Linked DNA regions of Kluyveromyces lactis. Each later gene encodes a partner of the first gene's protein in a complex. Links are inferred from orthologs where the notes say so. Each region holds a gene or a part of one and is shown on either strand. Other genes may lie near its edges. The genes, in order: VMA22 and VMA7.

Region 1 (10,023 bases):
TGTTTCTTGATATCACGTAAATAGTCATATAGCAACCAAAAAGCCTATCAACTTCAGATAAAGTTAGGTATTTGGTATTAGTCAGTAGGTCGTAAGATTTACCTGAGAAAGTGTATTGTTCGTCTGAGAACGACAAAATATGTACGGTGACAAAATAAGCAACTTTCCATTTCACTGGCCATGAAACTATCCATTTCATGTTCATAAGCGCATTGAAATAAGTTGGCTGTTTTTCAGGAGGATCAATAAAGTGATTGAGGTATACAATTTTTTGCGGGAACATTCCTGGTATTTCTTCTCTTATCTTGTTGTTCTCTTTCTCTTTCTCTTCTGCTTTGGCTTCTTTATGGCCGGTATCAATCCTACTTTGAATGAAATTGTTAATGTTATCAACTTTAGAATACGTTTGCTTTATGTCTTCCTTGATGGTTCGAAGTACTTCTTCTACTTGAAAGTACTCTTTATCGTCCTCACCCTCTTCATGTCCACGCTTCACAGGATACTCGAATTTGAAATCTTTATTGTGAAAAAGGGACTTCTGTTGATTTTGATAGTCCTTGAATTCAATGACATTCCCTTTTTCAACTAAGCTAACTCTTTGTGGACGTTTGATGTAATCAGGAAGAGGATACCCAAGAAGTTTAGCACATTTTTCACTTATCTTTTCAGATGTAAATTCGCCATTCAAATCACCCATCGGTTTAAAAAGTTTATCAGTTTTATTAATGGCTCTTCTTTTCAATTCAATCTCATCTAATGGCCTCCATGACAGTTCTATCTCGGAATCTGTATCGTTTTCCTTGCTATCATCATTATCAAAATCGCTATTATTCATTTCCAAATTCTGATTCTCATTGTTTTTGTTAATTGGATAAGGATACTCATTCAAATCATGTTGAGTAGTGGCCAACAAATTTTCCTTGGTATTTCTTCTTGGCATTGTAGTCTTCCTGGTTTCTTTCAACCTCTTCATCAATGCTGTGAAGTCAAAACTCTCTTTTTCGCTATCTGTCGTTGTGCTCGAATTTTCATCTAGAAACTGCCGCCCAAGAGCATGTGGCAACTTATTCGGATTTCCAAGCCTGGGTTTACTCATTGTATAGTTGATGACTTGGTTGAAATTACTCTGAACTATTGGCTATTCATAAGTTTAGTTTCAGGTTCAAGCCGTTTTGTTTTTGGACAGACATCCTTAGTGATTACGATATTGATAAAACTGACGTCTTTATTGAATATTTTGTGTCAAATTTGAAAACTCGAACAAACACAAACGCGAAAAAGCTCTCGAGAACAAACCTGTTGATGAATCTATTGGATCGATAGTGGCTTATTAACTTCCGAGTTGCTTTCAGTGTATGCGTGGAGGTTCACGGTGGCATCCATCGTGCTGCGAAACTAAAATAGATCATTCTCTCACGTGACAGTCATTTGAACTGACTTTGAAATATTTCAACTAATAATAGATTCATATGACCACCTTAGATACAAAAATAAAGGAACCTCGATTAACGTTGGAAAGTGAACTGATGCTTACCACATTCGATCCAAACAAGCTTGTTTTCATTGGCTAGAAACAATATCAATCTTTAGTGTACTTCACGGGATCCTGTTGCTAGGTAGAGATCAATCCTGGTCAGAGATTAACGATGAGTACAAACCCAGTTCGAAAAGGCAGATTTAAAGCCTATATCAAACATGATTACCAGTCATTTATCAAAGGTGATTCGCTACCATATGAAGATAGCCTCGTCTGGGACCTGGCATTGAGTGCTTTAACAGTTGGTTATCTTTCAATGGTTCATTCTGATAGATATGGCGATATTTCTACTAGTGAGTTTGAGATTTGGAATCAAATTACTGATAGAATAAAGGGTAAGTTTTTCATTGCAACCAGTGTACCAACATTAATTGAGGTGCTGGCGAAGCTTACTGATATGTACTCTTTGAATATTGAGTTCTGGAAAACAGCAAATAACGTGGTCTTGGCTAGCGTCCTGGTAACGTTATACGGTATTTTAAGGAAATCTAGCGTGTCAGTAATGATTAGCTTCCTAGTAACGATAATGTTCTCGCAGATATCAAGTTTCCAAGATTTAATTTATACGCTCAACTTTGACTCTTATCATTTGCTAGCCTTAACGTTGCTAATCTTACATTGGAGGAAATTTCAGGCCTCCAAAGACTTTTCCGTCGATTGGTACATGAATATAACACTTGTTTCGATGTCATTGATTTTCGTTATAAGTGGGAAATTCATAGGGTTGGTCTCTTGGATATGGCTCATTATAGTTTCTTTGAAATCACTTTGGATTGTTGTGGGTGATTTGGATGTTAAAAACAGACAACTTTTTGCCATTATGTTTTGTAGGTTATTGTTCTTCGTCGTTATTCCCTTGATGTCTTTATGGTACTCTTACTCATCATTAATTGGTGGTTTCACAACATCGTCAAACTCAATAGCGTACATGTCGTCATCTTTCCAGCATTATTCGATGAGCCAGCACAATGATATTCCATCTTCCATCATTTACGGCAGTTCAATTAGGCTTCGCCATGTTAATTCTTTGGGCGGATATCTATCAGCCTTAGAAATACCATACCCTAAATCTAACGACACATTGGTAACAGTTTCTGACGATCCAGATGATGAGGCTAACTTTTGGATCATTGAATCTAATAAAGGAAGAAACACTGAACAGACAGGTTCGAACGCATTAGTAAAACAAACGGACAAGGTGAAGTTGAGAAACAAGAAAACAGGTCAATTATTGAGAGCTTCTGAGGAAAAACCTCCAATATCAGACAAAGAATATGATAAGAGAATATCAGTAACGGGTGACAGTGACTATCAAGGGGATCAAGATGAATTATGGAAAATTGAAATTCAAGGGAAAGCATCATTCAGAGAAGTTTTGAGACCTTTCAAACAATTCATTGTTTTAAAGAATCCAGCTCGCCGTTGTTCGTTGCTTTCACATGAAATCAAAATTCCGCATTGGGGTGACAGGCGTCAAGAGGTTCTCTGTGTCGATCCTGCCAGAGTCAATAGAGCATTGTTTTATATTGACTTTGTCAGCTCGCCTGAGGCTGGAGTTGTTGAGAAATACAAATGGGCCCCTGAATACCCTTTCTATAAATTGGCTTTTGAGTACGTTGTTGGTCAATTCAGATTGAACAAAAGGCAAAACATCGATAATACGAGCATGTCTCCACCTGATTGCCTGTCTTGGCCGATTCTTTTCGACAATAACAACCAAATCGGTAAAATCTTATGGATAACTTCTACGGTATCTGTGGGCGTGTACACTTTCATGGAAGCATATTCCTGGTTATCTTGGAATATTTTTGAAGATACTTTACTTAATACCACTGCAAACCAATTAATGAAAAGAGAAGTCACCTTGGAGGCATTTTTAGGTTGGATCCTGCACTTATACATTTTTACTTACAGCCTGCACAGAAATCTTTCCGTTAACCAGTATATGCCCTCTCTATTATTTGCGGTGATCATTCTTTCACAGTTCTCTGTGTTATAGAACCAAGAATATCACAGCGAGCGGTGGTGGCATGACGGGGCATGCGGATGCTATGTTTAGTGATGATGTTGCGTGTCATTATAAAAATAAACGATGTCAGACAATCTGTCTGACATCGTTTCGGAGAAGAAGAAAAGGAAAAGAAGCTAAATATCTACTATATACCACTTGATACATTAGACACTATGTAAAAGTATTCTTACTCGCAATTTGACGTTAACATGTGACCCAATTTCTACCGAAGATTTCAAAATGATTCCTTTCTTATACTAAGCGTGCTTCTGTCTTCGATTCATTAATGCCAATCGTAAAGTCTTGGGTAAGTGTTCTTACTTTTTCTTGCAAAGCGTCCTTCCTTTTTATCGCGTCTATCTTTTCCTTCTCCATTTTGATCAATTGTTTCTGTAGTGAATCTATCCTATGTAGTTGCTCTTGTGCAGATACGTCTACTCCGGGTAGAGAATCTATTAGAGCCATTATCTGCCTTGTTTTAAGTATGATGTCTGTTGTCAATTCATCTATGTTCTTTTCAAATTCCTTTTCCTCAACAATGTGGGCCTGAGGATCTGACATCTGCTCTTCTGAATCGTTACTTGGTTCAAAACCATGGTTCTTATCGACATAATTTACTGCACCGCAAAATTGTTCCATCATTTGGTCCAAACATATTTGTAACTGGGTTAATCTATCGGTCATTTTTGTACACTCTTCCTTGCCTCTACTGGAGCTGGTTTGTCGCAATATTGCTAACTTTCTTTCACCTTCGAATTCGTTTATATAAATCATTGACTATGATTAAGTTACAAATATTTCAGACAACTTCAAAAGTTTGGTTTAAAACGTTTATGACTGAATAATATACGTAATATGAGAAGAAACTGCCACGATTTGGATATTAATAGACGCTAGGAAACCAATGATGACGGAGGATGACATATATCAACTCATTGTTAAGAATCTTGCAACCTATGATTCTCTATTAGAGCAGTTGCAAGCTAGTTTTGAAGAAGGTTACCATCAGTTGAGCAGAGCGAATTATCACAATAAGAACACACTTCGAGGATCATATGGTAAGGATTACTGGGACGAAACTTATACAGGAAACAGGTATATCTCCATTAATGACAAGCACTCTGTTTCGGAGACTGAAGAGCCGTTGCATATTGCCAATGACGAAGAAATCATTCCTGAGAAAGATGAAGCAACCAATGAGAATTTAAAGAAGAGAAAACAAAGAGAAAAACTATTGGCAAAGGTGAAGAAGGATCCTATATATATGTTCGGAGGTGCCCTTTCAATCCCAAGCTCTTTGAAACAATGTCAATTATCTTTCAAAGCTTCGATGCCGGTACTTTATCAACTACTAGAACTTCGACGTACTCTTAATGGTCTACTTGACGCACTAGGGACTCTGTCAAATTCAGCTTAAGAACTTTATAATTGCTATGGGAATGATCTTATATCAGAGTTAATACAAAAGAAAACTATCTGTACAATTGCTAATTTGGAAAGAACAGTTTACTGGAAACGAAAATAACGTTGGATGGCGCCAATTGAAAGACGTACAATGAGTGTATATCTGTACACATGCAGATTGGGGATTAATTATTAATAAATGAACGACGAAGGGTTAATCTGTATCAAAAAGAGAGCTGATTTCAGTAAATGCAATAACGAGTGAAAGATGGGTATATTTTCTTGAGAACAATTGTGAAAGTGAATGGAATGGCCCTGGCCACGGGTGAAGATCATAGAATAGATTTATAGTAAATGTTTGAATTTCTAGCGTAGGAAAACTCACTAGAGCTTTCATCCAATGACGATCCAGCATCACTAGGCTGTAGATAGCATAATAAAACATCATCAACTGACCTTCTGGTTCTTGGAGAGTCTAAGTATTCTGATGGCCTTAAAATTGGTGTCAGAATTGGATCAGAGTTTCTTTTCAATGAGTGCTTTGGTGTAATTGATTTTTTTGGTACTGATTTCAAGTCATCCAAAAGCATAGTCTCTAAAAGATCCGCAGAATTTACTGGTGTTTCCCATTGGAATTTGTCTATTTTCTTGTCTCCCGTTTCAGGTGTTGATACCTGGAGGATTGATTGTTCTTCTAGCAAAGTTGGGAACTGATAGTTTTTTAGGAAATCGACATCTACTTCACTGGCATCTGATTGAGAATATTTATGCTTCAAATGTGTCTTCTCTAGGGTAGTTAATTTTGAAATGGAACGCATATGCGAATCGTTTAGCAAGGAGGTAGCCATTGTTGAAGTTGATGTCACTCTTTGGTTCGAGTACGTACTGGATCCAACCGAAGAACGTTTTGTAGATGACCCTCTAGAAACCAGATGGTGTTTAGCATATGGAATTGCATCTGTTACGAAAGCTTTAGTCATTTGCGTTGGGGAATTGATTGTTGAGTTTGTCGGAAATTTGGTATTTTCCGGTATATCCTGTAAGTGACTGTTAGATGGTGGTGGTGAATCTGCAGTAGGCATTTCAAATCCTGCCTTAGAATCTGCATGTGAGATGTGATTAAATCCAAATGGGACAGAAATTTTTAACTTAGGAGGTTCTTCTTTACTTGATTTATTTTGAAACAGTTTTAAGAGGCTGTTCTTCTTCTTCTTGAAAGATTTCTTTCCAGATTGTTTATCATACGCATTTGGCGGCAATGGAGGAAGATTAATGTTTTTCCTATTACTTAAGACAGGTTTATCACTATTGATCATTACAACGCCCAATTCATCATCATCGTCAGAATCCAGAAGCTGGTGAGCTTGTAAACCATATAATTTTTCTGTTTCATCGTCTTCATCGAGCCAGATCGACTTGATCTGAGGTACGTTCATCATAAGTATTGGCCCAGATCTGTTGGTTGTTTTATTCGGCAATGCCTGGTTTCTGATGATTCAAATCATGGCCTTTGTACCCTGGATCATGTTTATCCGTTTATATATACATATATCGGCCGCGTCCACAGTGGTAATGTTTCATGCATTCCTAGGTTTCACAATTTTCTGACATTTTTCGCATCTATGGTTAACTACTACTGGATTCAGTTAATTTAGGAATTCCTATATTAGGTAAAAACACGATTTTTCATTTTCGCACCCTCTTCAGGAATGCAGATACGTTTCGTTGATCGAAAATTAATGTTTTCTAACCTCTCTAATTCACCATCGCCAATCCGGTTTTTTCTTTTTTCTTGGGTTTCATGTCTTCTTTTTTTCTTTTGGCGGCCGTTATTTTTTCTCAAGTTTCTACGGCTTTTTTTCGTGGGTTAGATAAGTCATTAGTTGACCCAACATGGTTACCAATTACGACTATTTCACATTTTTACTCCATAGACTTTCTAGACTCTTAGAACTGGCGGTTCTAGGTTCCTCGGACTCTTTGGAAAAGCTTGGTTGGGGTGTGTATTCATCGGAAATGCTCAAACTATTGAAAGAAATTTCAATGAACTCAGAAAAGTCTTTCACTATCGCATTATTCTCGGAGTCATCTGCTGAAATCGATGTCGGGGTGAGATTTACGCTCAATTTTCGTCTGTTGGTTGAATCCATTCTCGGTATCACTGGCCTAGTACCTGCTCTATAATCTCTCTCCATTGCAAAATTCATATATTTGATTTTATCCAATTCTTGGTTCGATAACGGTTCTGTAACAAAAGCCCTAGAGCGCTTGGAAAGGAATGTACTATTATTCGTTCTTGCAATATCAGGTGTCGTTGGACGACCAGCCAATAAGTTTTTAATGTCATCGCATTCGCTCAAGGACTTCTCTATACGTTGTTCCCAATTTTCTTTCCGTTTATCCTTCAAACTGCTTCTTTTAAGAATGGAAGAGCGTCTCCATTTTCGTAAGTAACTCTTCACCTCGCCCATTTTAACTTTGTGTGGCACTTGTTTTCCCAAGTTACTGCCTTACGTACTGTCTGTGTTTTTTATATAATAGACCGTTTCTATGTAAGGCGGTTTATGATTCGAAGAAGAAAATCGTAAAGTCTCCAAGCTGGATACTTTTATACTCTTTTCAATAGCCGCTGAGCTTTTGATCGGATTTACACCATGTATGTGTTGCGGGTAACAGTAACCTGCTCTTTTTACAGATATTAGAATGAAAAATAACTTTGGGTTTAGAACTTGATAGTAAGTTTGACTTTGGAAACTAAACGTAAAATTGGACATGTTAAAGATGAACTCAAAGTGGATTGAAATCACCGATATCATTACTCTTACCCATAATTTCCTAAATTTACCTTGTATCCATCTTTTGCTTAATGCTTATTGTACTATTTTCCTTATATAAATATAAAATCTATTATATATCGTATTATCGGTACTATTGAATGCTTCGAGAGATTCAACAGTAGAAGTGCAGTATGAAAATTAAGTTCATGGTAATTCAGCTTTTTGTTCTTTTCGAGTCATCACTTTCCAGTGTATCTGGGTTTTTCCTTTTGACTATTTTGAACGATGAATTCTGTGTAAAATCTTCATTGACTACATCTTCGTTACCAATACAAATGACTTGCTTATAGCTCTTATTTCTTAATCTACCATTTAGAAGTACCAAACTAGCAAGCTCGCCCATGGATTTACGAGATTTGTCATTCGGAAGCCCAATAAAGTTCAAAATGCTTGTAACTCCAATGACATTACGACATTCTAGTGGGCTGGTTGCTCCACTACTGACCACGATTCCTCTGTTCCTGCAAGTTCTGATCACACTCTTCACGTTAGATACGAACTGCCTACGTGTTCTGATATCTCGAAGAGCGTTAGCATAAACAATTTCTACTTTGACTCCTCTCTTAATGCAACCCCCCATCATGTGATGTTTCAAAAGTGTAGGAAGCCTTTTGTCGTAGTAAAATGATAGCACATCAACATCCAAGCTAGACGTTACGAGAGTAACAGCCTTTTCACTGACTGGAAGGGCTGCCACAATATCGAAAGCTTGCGATATCTTTGTCAACGGCTGGCCTTTTGAAAGGTCATCTATAATAATTGTGATTCTTGTATATAGCTTTAATCCCGTAGATTTCACTAGTTCATCAAAATGCGATAGATCGATAGGATTCATATCATTGATTGATTTTGGGAATTTATCCTGTTGGTTTACTGTGAAATTTAAAGCTATGTGAGTGTACCCTAGTGTATGCAATGTCGCTAGAGTCTTGTGCAGCGTTTTAATCTCCTTCGTGGAAGGCGGTGTTGCAAAATCCTTCTGTGGCCAAGGAACGTTTAAATCAACTAACATCCTTTCAAATAGCTATTTTGCTTTGCAAATTTGGAAGGAGTATTTACAAGTGATTCAACAGAAACTTTTGTTTCCATTTGAGTGTCCAGCATACCTCATCTCATGCTCATGTTTCATTATTTACTAGATTTTTTTTTTGGTAGATTATTGTAATGTCTTTTCCGAAAAAATTATACTTGAAGATATTATAACATACTATGAAGTACAATCCTTACTTGAAAGCCCAACTGTTGAAAAATACAACTTTAAACTTCATCCAATCGGCCATGTCACAATGTTTTTGAGTATGAGAACAATATTATCTAAATAGAATAATTGTCAGTTTATTTATAGAGTACATACCTTACTATTTGTTCCATAAAGTGATAAAATGTCCGTTAAAATAGGTTTGATGAAAAACAGCGCCCAAAAAGGAACCATTATGATCTATGTGCATAAATATCATTGCGTAGAGTTCACATCTTCTGAATCTTTCGGTAAAGAAGGTAAGTGCTGATCTTGATTTACAGCTACCGCCCCAGTAGCATGGTTTGTATTTTCTTCAGTTCTATTTCCAGCCAGTTCCGGAACTGGGGTTTCTGACTGTTGTTGGACATGCTCAGTGTGTAATTCCTTTGTTCCCTTGTCTGCGGGAACATCATTCGTAACATAAGGCTGTTCTAGAGGGCCTTCACTGTTTTCTTTGTATGGAATAGAACTTGATTTCTTGTTTGAATTTTTGCTACCATCTTCTAGGAAATCAAGAACCAAAATATTATCGATTTCTCTATTAATATTCATGACATCGACGCCATTTTTACCAACAAGCGGTAGTTCAGTGCCTCTGGCGAACATCCATTCTCTCCAATGAGTATTCGTATTATCACATAAATCAAAAAGAATCATTTTTAAAAGGGTAATGTGGTTGTAAAACCATGAAACCGACCTATTGATGAAGACTCTGTAATTTTCCATTTCTTTGATTGCATGCAACAATGTATAATTGTGGAAACCTCTCTTATCTTTCGACTTGTCTCTCCAAAACTCAAATAATGCAAATAAGGCTTTCCGTCTTTGCCAAGTTCTCTTAGATTCTCTTAGCTTTAGACCTAAACTTACCAATCTATTCTCCCAACGGAATTCCATCAGGAAATATTCTAATGAATTGACGTATCTCTCGGTTAATATGACATTGGACAAAACTTGACAAGCCATTGAGGTTTCAATCTCAACGTCTGGTTTA
Region 2 (10,042 bases), on another chromosome or scaffold:
TGCTACGATTGTCAATTCTCCATTCGAAGACTTTTCCCCCTAACTGCGTTTTTGTTCCAAGAGGAAATGTGTCCAATCAATGACTCATATACCCCTTATATCGCAAGCGTTTGGTATTTATCTTTTACTCTCTTTTTTTATCACATCATTGGTTTCCTCGATTTCGATGAGTTGACTCAATCGAATCATTCTCTTAAAAGTACCATTTTAAACAATATTATTCAAATACACAACATGCTCATAAACATAAAGCAAATACATATTTTTTTTATTGAAAGATTGCCTGTCTCTTCATTAAAGAAGGAAGTAATTCCAAAATCATGAAAACTGTGAACAGTCTTGCCAAATGAAAACTTCCATAGTTTAGTACTATTACTGTTATTATTATCGTTATTATTATTATTTTGAATAACATATTTATTAAGAAACACTATAAAACACTGACCTCGTGCGGAGATGCATTTTTAGCGGTAGTTATTTCTTGTGGCACTTTTAGATCAAATGCACAGTATATCTACATAGTAATGTCAATTCAAGCTGCCGTCTATTGCATATTTACAGTATTTGAAATCGGTTGTGTACAAATTTGAGAGTTATAGTTATAAAGAATATTAATATGTTATCAAGATTATTTCCTTTCACCGTCAGAAGAGCTAGCTTCAGTGACTTTTACGTCTTCCTTTAATTCGAATGATTGAGGATAAGTGATTGAATCTTGTGCTGGATGTGCGGATTCCGATGCCGCTTCTTTAGCTTTGTGACTCAAAACACGGAGCGAGAGTGGTTGATCATCTTCTCCTTCAAGCATACTCAGATTTTCTTGTTGAATTTCAATATCGTCCATCAGTTCTTCATCCAATTCTTGTGGTAGTAGTTGGTTCATTATAACACCAACGATGGCACACACAGCGAAACCCGATTCCATGATCAAAACAATAGCATTCAAGAACCCTTGTAGAGTGTTATTGGAGCCGTTGTAATGGAAGAAGGTACCAAACCAGGTTGGTACGAGAACGGCGCCGATACCTAGTGCTAGAGAGCAAGTCAAAACAAATCTGTCACGTCTGGTCAAAGGTATTGTAGAGATAATCTTGATACCAGATACAGCAACCGATGTGAATAAGAATGTGGTCATCCCCCCTAAGACAGGTTTTGGAATTGCAACTAGTGCAGCTCCAAACTTGGCAACAATACCCATGAGGAACATAAAGAAACAACACCAGTAGCCGACTTGTCTGCTAGCACATTTAGTAATTGAAATGACACCATTGTTCTGTGCGAAGGTAGACATTGGGGTTATGGTACACAAACCAGAAAGAATACCACTGAGACCATCACAAAGCACACCACCTTGAATTCTTGATTCGTATTCAGCACCTTCCGTTTCCAATCTAGACACGTCACAAGTAGCTGTCAAATCACCCATAGCTTCTGTTGCCAAGACGATATATAAAACTAACATCGGCAACACAGCAGGTCCATACACCGAAAGCTTAAACGTGTGAACCCAGATGAATGTTCCACCAGGAGCAGCATCTATGGAGGTTTTGTTAAAGTAGCCACATGCTGCAGCAACGATACAACCAACCAACAAACCAAGGATGACAGCACATGATTTCATGATTGGAGCACCGTACTTCTCAAAGATGATAATAGTGGAAAACACCAAGAAACCCAAACCGACGAAACGGGCAGACCCCCAGTCACCTGCCATGGGAGCACCTTCTGAGGGACAAATGGCACCAACACATCCTGAACCACCGGCCCAGTCGCTGAACCCTGATTTGATAAGACTGAAAGCGATACAAAGAATGACGGGACCTGTGACAATCTTTGGAAACAAGCTTTGTAAAATATTAGCCGGAGTGAAGGACATAGCAACTTCGAGCAAACCACAAACACAGGCGGTACCCAAGATAGCACCATAGCCATCAGGACAAGCTAATTGCGTGCCATCTTCGGACACTGGGCAAAATCCTGTATCATACATCATGGGGAAAACATTTCCGACCAAAGTAATACTAGCGAATGAAGTACCTAGCACAGAAATAAGACCAGAACCCACGTAGTATGAAGTAAATGGGATAGGGACTCTTGTAATTTGTATGGCTGACATGAGACTAGAAACGATCAACGAAGCTGAAACCAAATATTCTTGAACACTCTGATCGAGGTTTATCATTGTTGATATCAAAATTGGAGGCGAAATGACACCAGCCAACATAGACAACGAGTGTTGCAACCCAAGAATCATACCTAGTACAACGGGAACGTCAGCATTAAGTGAGAAAAACGGTTGATCTCTATGAACAAGTTCGACACCTCTTTTCCTTGCTAAATACTCTTGGAATGGATACGAAGGAGTGAAAAGGAAAGCGTAATCATAGTCACCTAGAAGACCATCCTTGGTAGTCCATTTTCTAACCACTTTTTTCACAACATCCTTCACAGGTGCTCTTTTCACATTGTCCTGCTCTACAGCATCGGCCAAAACTTGATCCATCTTTGGGGTTATAATATATCAAACTGTTTGGTTACAGAAGCCTTACTTCCTTCTAGAATTCCCACTTGATTCAAACTGAATACTCTTACTGTTATACGAGATCACAAAACAGAAAGGGACCATTATTCTGTCAAACTTCTCCATATATGTATGTGAGTGCAGATCTGCTGTTTTGTAGTTGTAATGTTTCTATATCTTTTAACTTTCCTGGGAAACTATCTTTTCTGATTTCATTAGTTAAATCCTTATCTAAGTGATTCGCAGGACTCCGAAGCAAAAATAAGGGAAATGTTCGTGGTTTAGACAAAGGAAATGCTAGTCAATATGTGAAAAGAAAAGAGAATTTCCGAGTACACATTTACAAGCACTATCAGCCACCTCTTTTAATTCTTTGCAGATATCGCTAAAACGTCTATCGGTCAACTACTCAAATTGATTTGATCAACATAACTTTCGATTTTCAAAAATAAGCATAATATTTCTTCCTTTCCTATAGGTTTTCTCCGTCACAGTCAAAAAGGTAACGTTATAACTCTGACAAGAATCTGCAAGCTAATTGCAATCAGGAATTTCGACATGAGAAACCAAAAAAAGAAGGTGGAACTGTCGGTTTTTGCTATGCCTCATCGCATTGCAGTTCACCTTTAGCTCCAAGTGCTAATGAATTTCTTCATTTTTCTTTTTTTTTTAGCGCCTGTTATGCGTGTCTCTTGATCCGTCTCTAAGCAGTGAGAAGGATCCAACCATTGGGTAGTAGTTTGAATAAGTCAGTCAGGTGTTTGATAAACTTCTTTACTGGTCAATTTTCAATACAAACTAGATCTTAGTTAAGCATTTGTAAATAAGGCAGCTAAGCTGCTTAAAGTGAATGTTTTTCTGATAGTTTTCACTGCATAGTGCGGGGACTCACAAAGTGAAAACAAAAATTAACTACTGGGTAGTAAACTGACGTGTGGTTGCAGATAACGATTGAACGATGGTTATGACCGTTATCCAGTCTGAACCGTCTCCTCAGTATACAATCCACATTCTGATAAGAGATAATCATGAAGAGAAAGGGCGCATCCTCACTATCTTTTCCTGGAGAGGTGTTCCTTTCATGTTTTTTTTTTGTTTTTACCCTGGAAGAATGACTTTTTACTACGTTGATTTCTGTGTTCGAGGTGCGGCCATCCCCGTGTCTGAGAATTCAAGATGTCTATCGGCCTTGATGATAAACATATTCGACATGAGACCTATGGCAGACGTAAATGTGCACAACTTTGCAAGTGTAGGGAAAGCTCTTGATTAAATAAAGATATTTACATGAAAGTTAAGCGAAGTGAAGTAATTTGACAGAAGGTGTTTGTCTTGTTGTTATTCTTATTCTTTGATGTTGGAATAGATCTGCGTAACATCGTCGATTTCTTCTAATTGATTGATGAATTTCTCTAGCTTTGCATGTAATTCAGTGTCAGTGACGGGACTCATCGCTGTCTCTTCACGAGGAACATACTCCACTCCCATTTCTCTGATATGGAACCCTTGATTCCTCAACGTTTCAGCCACTTTGTTAGTCTGTTGAGCCTCTGTGATAACTTCGAATAGTGCGCTAGCATCATTACCGCTTGAATTCTCATCTTGCGATGATAGTGGTTCGCTTTCCCCAGTAGTATCTTCGCTGTTTGGAGTATCCTGTTCTAAATCTTCCACTCCATCTATTTCCAACACTATGTCCATCACTGAGTCGAAATCTCTGGGTTGATCTTCTTTAGGTTCAATGACAACGTACCCTTTCCTTTCAAAGAAGTATAAGGTCGGTGTCATGTTTCCATTGAATTTATTGAATGTAGATCTGATTAATCCCACGGTTCTGTTCTTGTTGTCCGTAAGTGCTTCAACGACAAATGCAACCCCAGCTGGACCTATTCCCTCGTATGTACATGGCTCTGCACCAGCGCTTGCGCCATCATTGGTACCTGAACCCTTTTTGATCGCATTTTCAATGACTTTCTTCGTCACATTGTTCTTATTAGCCAATTCAATGGCAGTTGCAAGTCTGATATTCATAGCAGGATCCGCAGATCCACCCAGTTTCACGGCGACAGAAATCTGATTAGCAATCTTATTGTATATCTTGGTTCTTTCAGCGTCGTTTTTGGCCTTTGTATGCTTGATGTTAGCCCATTTACTATGTCCGGCATTGACGACTCTGGTCCCGTGCAAAAACCTTCTGCTGAAGACACTCCCACTACCTAAACTTCTTGAAGCACTTATCTTTAACATGATTCACTTGATGTTTGATGCAATTTAAGCGGGTTAAGGTTCGATAGATGTAATACGATGATCACTTCCCGTTCCATTGGGGAATGTCGTTAAATCCATTTTTAAACTAAGGTCATCTCGACTACGTTTTTTTCACTTTTTCACTTCCCATAAATGTTGATACATAGTGAGATAAAGGTACTGTGGTCAAAAAGTGAGTTGTATACTTTCCTTAATCTGTTCTGCAGGCGGTGAAGAGGTGGAAAGATCTCCATAGAAGCCTACAATGGAAATATTGCTTCATACAGCATATTCCCATGATCAATTGGTAAATAAACGGAAAGGCCGGGTAATGTTTTCTTTTCATGTCTCCCCTTTCAATACGATTTCTTTTAATGAATATATCAATTGAAACATTACACCGAAACGAATTATTGGAAACTAGTATTTCATGATAACTTAGACAACTTTTCTCTGCTTGAAAGAATCCGAGCTGATCATATCAAATTAATTAGCACTCTTCGCTTTGGAAATATTTTCAGGGTTGGCAATCTGTGTTAGGAGTTAAGCCAATTGTATTTGGTATAGAAATATAAAGAGGAAGCATGGCTGACGAAAGGAATCTTATTGCAGTTATTGCAGATGAAGATACAACTACGGGACTCCTTCTAGCTGGTATAGGTCAAGTCTCTAAAGAATCGAAGGAGAAGAACTTTGTGGTTTACAACGAGGGTAAGACTACAAAGTTGGAATTATCTGATGCATTTGTCAAATTCACAGAAACAAGGCCGGATATTGCCATCTTGTTGATCAACCAGCACATTGCTGACCAAATAAGGCCACTTGTTGATGGTTACACGAATGCATTCCCAGCTATTCTAGAAATTCCATCGAAAGATCATCCTTATGATCCAGAGAAGGATTCCGTGTTGAGAAGAGTCAGAAGACTATTTGGGGAGTAAGGGTGTTTATTGCACCAAATGAGTAAGTACCGATGTATAAACTTTATAAATCTTGAAATACAAGAAACCAAAATCAAAGCATTAAATGTAAAATTGTTTATTAGTACATACAGATTGCAGATATTATACTGAAAGGATTGACAAATTTCATTTCTTGCCCTTCTTCTTCTTCTTATTCTTCTTCTTTGTATTCGTATTGTTTGCACCGGTTTGTGATTCTTTTGTGACATCTACAGCCTCTGGAGATGTTTCCTCTGTTTGTGGTTGTGTGAGATCAGCTTCTGTTTCACCGGCTTCTAGCGGAGTTGGTGCGGTTTCTTCAATTGTCTCGTTTGCTGTATTGTCTATTATTTCTGTTGGTTGCTCTTCTGCCGGGACTTCTACAGGAACTTCTTCTACGGATGCTTCGACATTGATCTCTTCTCCGACGGTAGGAGCTTCGGATGCTGGAGCTTCTTCTTCTTCTTCTTGTTTCAGCACTTGTGGCTGATCAGTTGGCGGTGTTGCCGCTTCTGGTTCTTCATGTGAAGATAGTGTCTCTGGCTCTTCTTCTACCTTTTTGGATGCTTCTTGTGCTTCTTGTGGAGGTGTTACCTCTGAGACAGCTGGTTCTGTTTCTTCTGGGACAACTGACTCTGGTTCTTCTTGGACAGCTGGTTCTGTTTCTTCTTGGACGATCAGTTCTGTTTCTTCTTGAACGACCGGTGCATTTTCTTCTGGAGCTGGTTGTGTTTCTTCTGGAACAATTGGTTCAACTACTTCTACTTCTTTTGCAGTCGTTTCTGTCCCATCTGGAGATGTCGCCTGTTCTGGCTCCCTCTCTGGTGCAGTTTCCTTCAAGGCATCACCTGACGAAGGTGCAGCTGCTGTGAACTTGTAATTTAAGAAATTGGATGGATCTGAATCCAGGTAGAAATCTCTGACACCCACGATTCGTTTTTCCAGTTCACAGGCCCTAATCCATTCAGGTCTGACAATTGGTATATTGTTATCTCTAGCATGAGCCAATTCCTCATCGGAAGTAACGCCTTCGCTATCTTCGAACTCTGTTGCAATGAAATGTGTAGTCTCTAAAGTGACATGATCTTGTAAAGGTTTGGCACCGATATTTTGCAACGATCTTTTGATTTGATCAAGTGAAATGTTATCCCCCAGCTTGGTGTTAGGTCCTACACATGCAGTAATACCGGACATATCAGTCATCTTGTGGGTATGCACCTTCAAAGTATTGGACCAGAATTTTCCTGAAGTGGTATTCAAGAGTAACTTGAACTCGTATTCGAAGTCTACCGAGAGACCAGAAATCTTAAGGCTGTTGTTATCAGTAGTTCCATCCCGGTTTGATCCTGGAGTGATTACTTGGTGCCTATTTCCTTGCTTGTACAAGATTAGCGATTTCAATTGAGACGAACCCAGATGGATTGGGTCCCAATGGATAACGCAACTTGTTTGAGTAGCATTCGAGAGATGTAAAACGGGCTCTGCTGGAGGATCGGTACCATACTTGGCGAGAATTTGTTCTTGCACACTTTGAAACTTCTTTTTCTGTTTAATCTCTTGTTCTAAGTCTTGTTCAACAGTAATGGTAACGACAGACCCTGCTTCCACTGATTCTGGTAATAAAACGGTAGGAAATTCGATAACGTAGTGGTCTGCAGTCGTGAGAATGGCGAGCGACGCGTCGACTTTCCCGACGGTGAGCGATACTTCGACCATAATTGCTAATTGAGGGGTCTAGTGCGCGTTAAGCCTGTGTAATTGTGCACTATTTTCCCTTTGACAATCTGTTGTTGTGTATATTCCATAGATTCGAACTTGTATATGTGTGCTAAAATCAAATCTGATATATAAAAATAACGAAACAGGAAGAAAAGTGGGCAATTCTTAGGGGCGTGTTACCCGGGGTATAGTTTTTTCCTTCCTTGGACCCAAGTATGTATTACCCGCATTTTGATATATTTTGAAACCAATATCAAATTAAAGTCACGTGAGAAAGTGGACGGTACACTCACGTGACATTGATTACTCATCGGTCTGTAATTTTGACGCCCAAAACTCCGGCTCCGATAGGAATGATCGCACGCATCGCGTACAACTCGAATCCAGGAATCAAGGTTTGTAGAAAAACACACACACGCGTCTGCACCTGCCTTTTCCACCCCGGGTAATACACTTTGGTTACCCGTCCTCCTCGAAATGTCCCCTTAGACCGAGAACGGGACCCGTTACCGCCAATCCGTGATCACGAAACAGTAAAAACTCTCAGAACCGCCCGCAACACCTCTGTTTCTCGGAACAAATCGGAGCTATTTCCCCTTCCCCTACAGAATCCTCCATCCTGGTCTCTCCGTTGAATGAAACAGAGGAAAAAAATGCCTAACGGGTTCGTCAGCAACAGCGGTACACCACATACCGGACAGCGACTAACTCTTCCATTCGGTCAGTCATTTTTCAAATCTGTGCGATTCCATTTCCCTTCAGACGTTAATTATGTATTTGGCTTTGGTTTTTCCTGTTTTTTTTAGTTCTTTGAGTGTTTAAAACTGAACAGAAATTGTCGTATTATTATTTATTTCGGTTTGCATAAATATTTCAATACATATATATATATATTACATATATAGCTATATATATAATGTTCAACATAAGACAACTTTTTCTCCTTTAATACTAAACTGCTAGAGGATCGTAATTTTTTTTTCCAAGACGACAGATAAATTCTTTTCATTCCCACTTCCGGATCCCCTGAATTATTCTTCTTGCCAGGTGACTTTCTGCTTTTGACCTTTAAAAACGGACGTCTCAAAAACCGAAGCCGAAACCGAGACCGAAACGGAGTATTTATTATACTAGGAAGGTAGTAAAAGTAATACGGAATTGGAACTGGAATCAACAGCGAAGAATTTTTTTTGCAAATATTCATCATTACACTATACACATATGCTTAGAACAGTAAGAGGAAGGAGAGTTGGCCTTGCTCAGGCCAATTTCAAATCATTGGTGCAAGCCAGAAAGTTTAGCTCTCAAATGGTTTTGAGACAAACGATTTCGGCCAATGGTGACATCAATGGACAGCAGCAAGAGGCTGGGTCATCTTCCAGCCATGGATATAACATCATCGATCATGAATACGACTGTGTCGTTGTTGGTGCTGGTGGTGCTGGTTTACGTGCTGCTTTTGGTCTTGCAGAGGCTGGATACAAAACTGCATGTATTTCTAAGTTGTTCCCTACTAGATCTCATACCGTTGCTGCGCAAGGTGGGATCAACGCTGCGTTGGGTAACATGCATAAAGATGATTGGAAATGGCATATGTACGATACCGTGAAGGGTTCGGATTGGTTAGGTGACCAAGATTCGATTCATTACATGACTCGTGAGGCTCCAAAATCTATTATCGAATTGGAACATTTCGGTGTACCATTCTCAAGAACCGAAGAGGGTAGAATTTACCAAAGAGCCTTTGGTGGTCAATCCAAAGAATATGGTAAAGGTGGTCAAGCTTACAGAACTTGTGCCGTCGCTGATCGTACCGGTCACGCTTTACTACATACTTTGTATGGTCAAGCTTTAAGACACAACACCCATTTCTTTATTGAATTCTTCGCTATGGATCTTTTGACCCATAACGGTGAAGTCGTTGGTGTTATGGCTTACAACCAAGAAGACGGTACCATCCACAGATTCCGTGCTCACAAGACCATTATCGCTACTGGTGGGTACGGTCGTGCCTACTTCTCTTGTACATCTGCTCATACTTGTACAGGTGATGGTTATGCTATGGTTTCTCGTGCTGGTTTCCCATTGCAAGATTTGGAATTTATTCAATTCCATCCTTCCGGTATCTACGGTTCCGGTTGTTTGATCACTGAAGGTGCTCGTGGTGAGGGTGGTTTCTTGGTTAACTCTGAAGGTGAACGTTTCATGGAACGTTATGCTCCAACTGCTAAGGATTTAGCTTGTAGAGACGTTGTTTCTCGTGCCATCACCATGGAAATCAGAGAAGGTAGAGGTGTTGGTCCAGAAAAGGATCACATGTTCTTGCAATTGAACCATTTGCCACCTTCTGTGCTTCATGAACGTTTGCCAGGTATCTCTGAAACTGCAGCCATTTTCGCCGGTGTCGATGTCACTAAGGAACCAATTCCTATCTTACCTACTGTCCATTATAACATGGGTGGTATTCCAACTAAGTGGAACGGTGAAGCTTTGACTATCGATGAAGAAACCGGTGAAGATGTTCTCATCCCAGGTCTACTTGCCTGTGGTGAAGCAGCTTGTGTCTCTGTTCACGGTGCTAACAGATTGGGTGCTAATTCCTTGTTAGATTTGG

What was found.
Region 2: the proteins of VMA22 (region 1) and VMA7 are in contact, whole or in part, in a cryo-EM structure (PDB 8EAS), measured with the Saccharomyces cerevisiae proteins. The link is inferred for Kluyveromyces lactis from reciprocal best matches to the Saccharomyces cerevisiae genes VMA22 and VMA7. Residues at the interface, in NP_011927.1 of Saccharomyces cerevisiae: Tyr17, Leu20, Leu24, Tyr27, Leu31, Leu34, Gln35, Phe38, Tyr42, Leu45, Ser46, Tyr60, Gly61, Glu62, Trp65, Asp66, Glu67, Thr68, Tyr69, Ile70, Gly71, Gln72, Leu73, Met74, Ala75, Val77, Val86, Ile88, Lys92, Pro132; in NP_011534.1 of Saccharomyces cerevisiae: Glu3, Arg5, Thr6, Ile8, Glu14, Asp15, Thr16, Thr17, Thr18, Gly19, Leu20, Leu21, Leu22, Ala23, Gly24, Ile25, Gly26, Gln27, Ile28, Thr29, Pro30, Lys35, Val39, Gln41, Ala65, Ile66, Leu68, Asn70, Ala90, Ile91.

The regions. Positions count from the first base shown.
Region 1 is NC_006039.1:1,286,226-1,296,248, reverse strand, and holds VMA22 (Vma22p), read left to right. Parts: upstream 1-4,452; coding exon 4,453-4,965; downstream 4,966-10,023. Other genes in the region: KLLA0_C14850g (uncharacterized protein), read right to left, coding at 1-1,096; PMT7 (putative dolichyl-phosphate-mannose--protein mannosyltransferase), read left to right, coding at 1,647-3,536; SRB7 (Srb7p), read right to left, coding at 3,801-4,232; GIC2 (Gic2p), read right to left, coding at 5,285-6,391; KLLA0_C14740g (uncharacterized protein), read right to left, coding at 6,863-7,423; RNA-binding RNA processing protein RPP1, read right to left, coding at 7,944-8,801; SUM1 (Sum1p), read right to left, coding at 9,243-10,023. UniProt on the Saccharomyces cerevisiae protein: Required for V-ATPase activity.
Region 2 is NC_006040.1:368,775-378,816, forward strand, and holds VMA7 (H(+)-transporting V1 sector ATPase subunit F), read left to right. Parts: upstream 1-5,352; coding exon 5,353-5,709; downstream 5,710-10,042. Other genes in the region: KLLA0_D04356g (nucleobase:cation symporter-2 family protein), read right to left, coding at 629-2,503; post-initiation translation factor DPC29, read right to left, coding at 3,866-4,768; CHS5 (Chs5p), read right to left, coding at 5,857-7,425; succinate dehydrogenase flavoprotein subunit SDH1, read left to right, coding at 8,650-10,042. UniProt on the Saccharomyces cerevisiae protein: Subunit of the V1 complex of vacuolar(H+)-ATPase (V-ATPase), a multisubunit enzyme composed of a peripheral complex (V1) that hydrolyzes ATP and a membrane integral complex (V0) that translocates protons.